Oryzias latipes: one gene and its partner. The protein of the gene in region 1 interacts with the protein of each later gene in a pairwise test. Links are inferred from orthologs where the notes say so. Each region holds a gene or a part of one and is shown on either strand. Other genes may lie near its edges.

Region 1 (3,445 bases):
ATCAAATGTATAGGTTTCAAGGCAAAAAACACAGAGCGTTCTATTTCATGAAAGCAAATTCAAAATAAATCTGGTAAATTTTCTGAAAAATTCAAAGATTACAAATGATTAAACAACAAAAAAAAAGAAGAAAATTCCTTTCACAGCACAGTCTTTGCTTCAGTGGTTTGTAATGCATTATTTAAAAAATTCTTACCCTTTTACCCAAATTTGATAAAAATAACTTCAAAATGTTTTCTTCCACTAGTATGACCCTAAGCTGACAGACATTTGGAGAAGAAGCCCACCTCCTCCCTATGACACGTGTCCTGTGATGCAGCCTAATGGATGGAGGACGCCCAGAGAGCCTCCTCCCCTGACTCCGCCCTCAGCGCCCGTCAGTCACAATCACCACTGGAACACCTAGAGGTCACGCAAATCAGTGTTTGGATGAACCCAACAAAGTTATTGCGTACCGTTTCCTTGTGCCTTCTCAAAAAAATGTCAGCGCAGTGAAGAAATAAATAAAAGTAAAAAGATATTCTGAAAAATTTTAATGTTTTCAAATGGAGGTCAAAACTACAGAGTTGTCGTCCAAATGCATCGACGCGCCAGCAGAAGCATCGAAGCACCAACGGGTTTCCTCATGTTTTACTAAACACTCTTTCTTACGGTACAGTACTTACGGTTGGAAAGGAAGCTTCAATAATTACTGAATGAGTTGCCAGAGTTTTTGAAGGTACATCGAAGGAGGTGAAATGTTCTATTCGGAGAGTTTCCTTGGCTTCTGAAACGTGTTAAGGCAAAAGTAAGCAGAAGTTACAAGCCACCAGAAGTGTTTTAGTACATCAGAGTAACTAAACAAACAATCGGAATGTTGGAATGGATTCGTTTCCCTCACCTTTTTTCTGTTGGAGCTCTGAAACGTCTTAAGCTATGTTCACACCGGTCTTTGCGACGCACGTTCAAGCAAGCACTTTCAATGAAACGTGTATGTTAATCCATGTCTATATTAGGGGTGTAAAGACTATTCGATGAATTGATTTCTATTCTTATGCTCTAACAAGATCGATCTGTTTGAGGCAAGTTTTAATCGAATCGGCCTAAACCATTAATACGAAAAATAAATGAATAAAAAATAAAAATCGCTTCAAAATGAGCTAAAACGATAACTGAAAATGCCATTTGGATTGGGATATGATTGGTTTATTTTACTATAGTGCATCTCAGCGGACAACACATGTGATGACAGGAACAAAAATGATTTGTCCACCATTACAGTCCAACATGTGTGTGGAAACACTTTGAATTTAGTAAAGATATGTACAGAGTAGTAGAATGTTTTAATATTTTCCCTTGGGATGAATTTGATGTGGAAAAACAAAAACTTTATGAAAATAAAATGTGAATGGATTTGTTGATGGTTCTTGTTTACTTGTTTGTACACATATTTCATTTGCACTTGATTCTCTTGCAAGAAATACAAAGGAATCTGCTAAACTTCGCCTGCGCTGTTCAGTACCACTTATTTGTCTCGGAGTCACACTGGTTGAATTTATGGCTAAAATGTCCTGGATGGATTTTAGGTCAGAGAATCGGATCGTTCAAAAGGAACCAAAATGGGCTATAAATTGCATTAGCAACCACAAATTATGATATGAATCAAATTTTTGGTCAAATTAATCGTTACACGTACATGTCTATGTACATGTTTCGGACTTCAAGACTCATGTTCATGCCTCACTACCCACGTTTTAAAGAGTCTACGTACAAAACACGCAGCCATTGAACGCGTGTTGAAAGTTAAACCATTTGAACTTTGACCAATCAGGGACTCAGACTTGGTAGTGACATGTAGATGGCGTTGCTTTTGATTCACAGGAGTGCCAATCAATTTGATTATGGAGGAGAAATTAATGATTGCAGTTTGTCTTTCAAAGTCTTTCGCATCAGAATAGAACTGTGAAAGAGATTTGCCCTGCATCGACATTTCAACCAAACCTCTTCCTACTGTGCGCTGGTATCGAGTAGCGACAGTCCAGAGTGAACACCGTATGCTAAACGCGCGTCACACGCCGGGTGTGAACGTAGCATTGTTGCTACGAATGATCCAAACAAAAACATGAATCTTTTGCAAAGACAGAAACGCTCATTTGCAACAAACTGATTTGTCAGAAATGTGCCGACAGGCGGCTCTTCTTTGTGTTTCCGTATATGTATTGCATGTATCTTCAGTTCTCTATTGCTGGTCAGCTTTCAAATCAGCAGTGACACACGATTAAGCACATGTCCAAACGCACAAAATCATACAACAGCTTTAAAAAATACAATGCCACATTTGGTGTCTTCTCACACTCAGCCCTACTGATCAGATGTAAACGTCACACTATAAAGGCTAAAGATGACCTCCCAGAAACCTGCAAAACCTACTGACGATCACACTCTCACTATTGCACCACACCTGATAATCCACGGAATAATTCAGTTTCTGTAAAATTAAATACAACTTGACATTAGGTCAACAGATGAAGTTTGTACAAAAAAGCTCTACATGAGGCTGGTCGTTTGCACAGGATTGCGATGCTCGGCTCCCCCACAGATTGCAGCGAGGAGACTCCCCCCCTCCCCAGGAACAAATCGTCCTCTCATCTGATTCACTTTGCTGGTGAGCTCTTTGGGGGCTTTCAGAACACCCAGCTGACCGGGACCCACTGATGCTCCATCGTCAGCTTCTCCAGTGCCGACCGCAGACCGCGAAACGCCGTTTCCAGACCGTCGTTCACAATGCAAAGGTCGAAGTAATGTCCGTAAGCTCTCTTAATGCGCTCGCTCTCGTCCACTGTCCTCTTTAGCTCAGAGTCCTGTAAGGAGTAGTTGGAAGAAAAACATTTAAAAAAAGGCAAATATTCATTCATTCATTTTCTATTCCGTTTTCTCCCTTTCGGGGTCACGGGGCTCCTGGAGCCTATCCCGGCCACTTGTGGGCGAAGGCAGGGTATGCCCTGGAAAGGTCGCCATTCTGTCGCAGGGTAGAGTGTCCACAATCACACACCCATTCACTCTCACACCTATGGACAATTTAGAGTTGCCAATTAACCTATGAAGCATGTTTTTGGACGGTGGGAGGAAGCCGGAGTTCCCGGAGAAAACCCACGCATACACGGGGAGAACATGCAAACTCCACACAGAAAAGTCCCCCATTGATGTTCTGGTTCATGTCCCCCAGCCGGGACTTGAACTGGGGATTGATTTTAAGATTCTTTTAATAGTTTTTTAGACTGTCCATGGCCTTGGTCCTTCTTTTATATCAGACTTGCTTTTAGCTTACGGAACTTCCAGAGCCCTTAGATCCTCAGGCGCAGGCCTGCTGATGGTCCCTAGAGTCGAGACAAAAATCCATGGCGAGGCCTCATTCAGACACTACGGACCTCGTCTGTGGAACAGCCTGCCTGAGGATGTGAGGGCC
Region 2 (3,824 bases), on another chromosome or scaffold:
ACACAGAGATCTTGGACAAACGGCGGAATCAAATATGTCCGGGAAACAGTTGAACAATTCAAAACGTCTGCACAGCATTTGGTACCAGACCGTGTGACTTTGCTTAATGGTTGCACGATTTTGTCGGCTCTACTACTGAAGCCTGTCAGGGTTTTTTATTTTTTGGGGTTGCATACCCCCAAGTTCGGCTTACTTTTGACTGACAGTGCGGAGCTTCATTATAAATTTGCACTGCATCCAGCTTCAGCTGGCAAACGGCAACATTCGTGGCTGTGCCTGCTTATCCATGCACCTGCAGAGCTGGAGCCACAGATGTAATCAGTTTCAGCTTGAATAATTCACAAGCCTTACAACGGAATCACTGGGAGAACAAACGGGGAGTAGAAGTGTTTTCTCACAAAGGACTTTGGCTGCTCCAGAAAACACCAGCGATGTTTCAGGCTGCGCTTTGGAGGTGTAAAGTATTTGTATTTAAGAAAGAGCTTGTATTTAAATCAGAACATGGTGGGAGCATTTTATAAGGAACTACAGAACCTGCAGGTCCTTCCATTTTCAATATTTATGTGTTAAGAAATGTTAAGTACATGGAATATACAGAACATTGATGGTGTATACTATATTTACACAAATGTACTCATGTTTATTTCTGCCCCCCATCCCTCCCACCACCCGTAAGACAATGAAGCGCCTCACCTACGACATGTGATTCTGCTGTGAGCTCAGGTTCTGTTGCTGCTGCTGCTGCATCAGGAGCTGCTGCTGCTGACGCCGCCGCGCCGTGCGGAGCTTCTCAAAGCGAGCCTCCATCTCCTCCAGCACCTTGGGGGTGTATCGAACCACCAGCTTCACGGTGTCTTTGGCCGCTTTCAGCAGCTCCACCGCCTTTTCGTGATGTTCTCCTTCGACACTCTGCAGGGGCCACAGAGGTGAAGAAAAGTGGGAATTCTTATGAAACTTTCAGCGTTGAGAAACCCCTCAAGGGGCGGAACAACATTTTGACAAGAAGTCAAGTTTTCCAAATGTCTTTTAAACCAAAGAACGTGCAGTTCCTTATTTTTAGGTTTATTGCCCTTTCCTAAAAGGGTTTAAACAACCGATAAGGTCAAACTTACCACCCCATTGACAGACAAAAGCTGATCGCCACGCTTCAGGCCACCATGCCTTTCAGCTACGCCCCCTGGGATAATGCGTGAGATGTAAATCGGGGAGTTTTGCTCCTTGCCACCCATTACGTTAAAGCCCAGCCCTTCCTCCGTCTTGGGTAGCTCCACCACCCGAGGATGAGAGTGACCTTCGCTTGCTGCGAAGGCTGCGACTGTGGCCTGAATGCAGAGGAACAGAGGGTAAGAGACGGCTGGAAACCAACAGTTGTGAGGTTAAAGCAGTAAATATACTCAAGTTTTCTAAACTTTGTTGGTCTAAGGTCAGTTTCTCACAGGGGTTTAGTGTTTTTAGTTTTCTTTTCTTGGATCGTATCAAATGATTTGCTTTTTGGCAGTTAAGCCCTCATAGAGTCTCTTTAGTTATCAATACTCTCACTTATGGCCTTTTCATCATCAATCCCATCAATCCCAAGGACATAAAACAGCAAAAGGAAAAAAAAGGGGTTTCAAAAGTTACAGGGGTTATCATCACTAACACATGCAAATATTTACCAAACGGCTGATCCTTTTTTTGTTTTTTTTTGCTCAAGTACGCACGCACGGATGCACGCACGCACATACACACACCGTAACATCTGCACAAACACAAAAAAGCTCTCATGTTACTATTGACCGCACACATTTTTATACACGTCTATGGAAACCCACACATATACACAAACTAATGCACATTTTGCTAGGGTGAGAAGGAACCTGAGAAGGCATCTGCGTTTAGGTAATTGTGTGTTCACTAAAATGTATGTTCATTGTGGAATTTTACTCTTTAGAATCTCCTCATCTCATTCAATGCAATCAGACTAAAAGCAATAGAAGACCTTTATCCAGCAGCATTACACAGTGACAGTGAATCAGAGTTTGCAGCATCTCATTTTAGCAAAGTGAAGAGATGTAGTTGCTATGTGAGGACTCCGATTCTTTCTGAGCATATGGATTATCACATCCAAGTTCACTGCAGAGGAGCAGCCTGTCGCCTCATGAATTTCCACCAGCTGTGGGGTTTCTTTGAAGCAATAGCCCTCTGCTGTCAGAACAAAGCCCCCATGAGCGTGTTAACTGTGCTTAGGAAGGCTAATGACTGAGGAACAAGAGGAGGAAACACTGTTCTCACTGACAAATCCACAGGTGCCTTTCATCATTCTGTACCATGCAGATGGCACGCTTTAACATTTTCTGTTCTTCTTTTCCAAGTATATATCTGTGTATATATACCAATGCATCCCTCCATTTTTTTCTGTCTGCACCCTCTGCCCTTGCTGCTTTGCTTTTGCCATTTCTGTCCCGCTGTGAAGGCAGCTCAACAGCACGCATGCCACCGCCTCCCGGGCCTCTCCACCTTCACAACTTTATCTGTGCTTCAGCAAACAAAAACGAAAATTAGGCAGATGGTAGGCGCCTCTCAGACACAGGAGGGCTTATAAATGGTGGCTTTGCTGCAGGATAATTGGTAGATATGACACTGTACCTACAAGCCTGGCTTATCAAAGCCTGTTTATTATCAGCTGGTATTTGAGAGCTGATGGAAATGTGTGGATAAGACATTTTCATGTTTAGAAACCTGACTGAGCAATTCTTAACCCCCTAATGAATAAAAACCAAGTTAATAGAAAATGAGAATATACATGTATATAAATATTCGTCAAAACAATATAAAGGCATTTACATGTAGAGTATCTACTACAGCTTGTTTAACCCTTTAACACTACTGTAACTCTTCAACGCAGTAGGGGCATCCAGTTTCAATGTTTTTTTCAATGCACAGCCCCTATGAGAGGCCTTTCGGTACACTTTTAGCGCCGGGCGTAGAGCTATTCTCTAGCGGTTGCGTATTTCTGGGAGTGCAGCAACACGACATGCCGAAAATTTGGATTTTTCTAGAGTTGAAATATTTAAACTTTGTCAATAAATTCAAACCACGTCAACCAATCACGAACTTGGCTTTGGGCAGTTTCATGTTAATGATGTAAATATTGGGTGGAGTCCAAACCCAACATGGAGGAGAATCTGATTGTTGATGGGTTTTTTTTCTTCCTGAACTTTAATATTTTTCTTATTTCTCCTGATACAATGAAAAGGTCACTCAAATTTTTTTTCTTTCCTTGGACTAATGTGGGAAAACAAGTCGTTAAACTGGGTCACAGAGAGACAGAAGTACCGCTGAAAGTCACTGTATTTCAGACACCGCTCCAGCAGTAGATGGTGAAAGTCACTGAACTGGAGAATTTTCAATGACCATTTGAACCAAGACACAAAGACGCTTTTGTAGAGCTCTTCAAAATAAATAAACCTGATCTCTCGACTTCATCTGTATCCTCAATTTAGCAGTGAGGTTAAATACTTTTGACGGTAGCTCCTCCCACACATGCCGGGAGAGGCACACTAATGAACATACTTTTGGACAAGCGTCCAGCAGCGAAGTTACGCGCATCGAAACAGAGGCGGCAGACACAAATTGGCTGCGCAGGTCACATTTAGTGTGAACACAGCATTAGTCTCAAACTTTGTCAGAATTAGCCCTGCTTCTCTTTAATGGTAGCATTAGCACACCCCAACTTACCGTAATTTCCGGACTACAAGCCGCTACTTTTTTCCTGCGCTTACAGCCCTGCGGCTTATTCTGTGACGCGGCTAATTTATGGATTTGATTGGCGGCCGCCATGTACG

What was found.
Region 2: the proteins of MAGUK p55 subfamily member 2 (region 1) and lin7a interact in binary tests that used the Homo sapiens proteins (3 or more experiments, as listed by UniProt). The two-hybrid records come from large-scale screens. The link is inferred for Oryzias latipes from reciprocal best matches to the Homo sapiens genes MPP2 and LIN7A.

What each region holds. Positions count from the first base shown.
Region 1 is NC_019877.2:4,338,597-4,342,041, forward strand, and holds the end of MAGUK p55 subfamily member 2, read right to left. Parts: intron 2,841-3,445; coding exon 2,664-2,840; 3' UTR 517-2,663; downstream 1-516. UniProt on the Homo sapiens protein: Postsynaptic MAGUK scaffold protein that links CADM1 cell adhesion molecules to core components of the postsynaptic density. In CA1 pyramidal neurons, required for synaptic KCNN2-containing channel function and long-term potentiation expression.
Region 2 is NC_019881.2:19,160,895-19,164,718, reverse strand, and holds part of lin7a (protein lin-7 homolog A), read right to left. Parts: intron 1,323-3,824; coding exon 1,113-1,322; intron 910-1,112; coding exon 698-909; coding exon of another isoform or gene 694-697; intron 1-693. UniProt on the Homo sapiens protein: Plays a role in establishing and maintaining the asymmetric distribution of channels and receptors at the plasma membrane of polarized cells.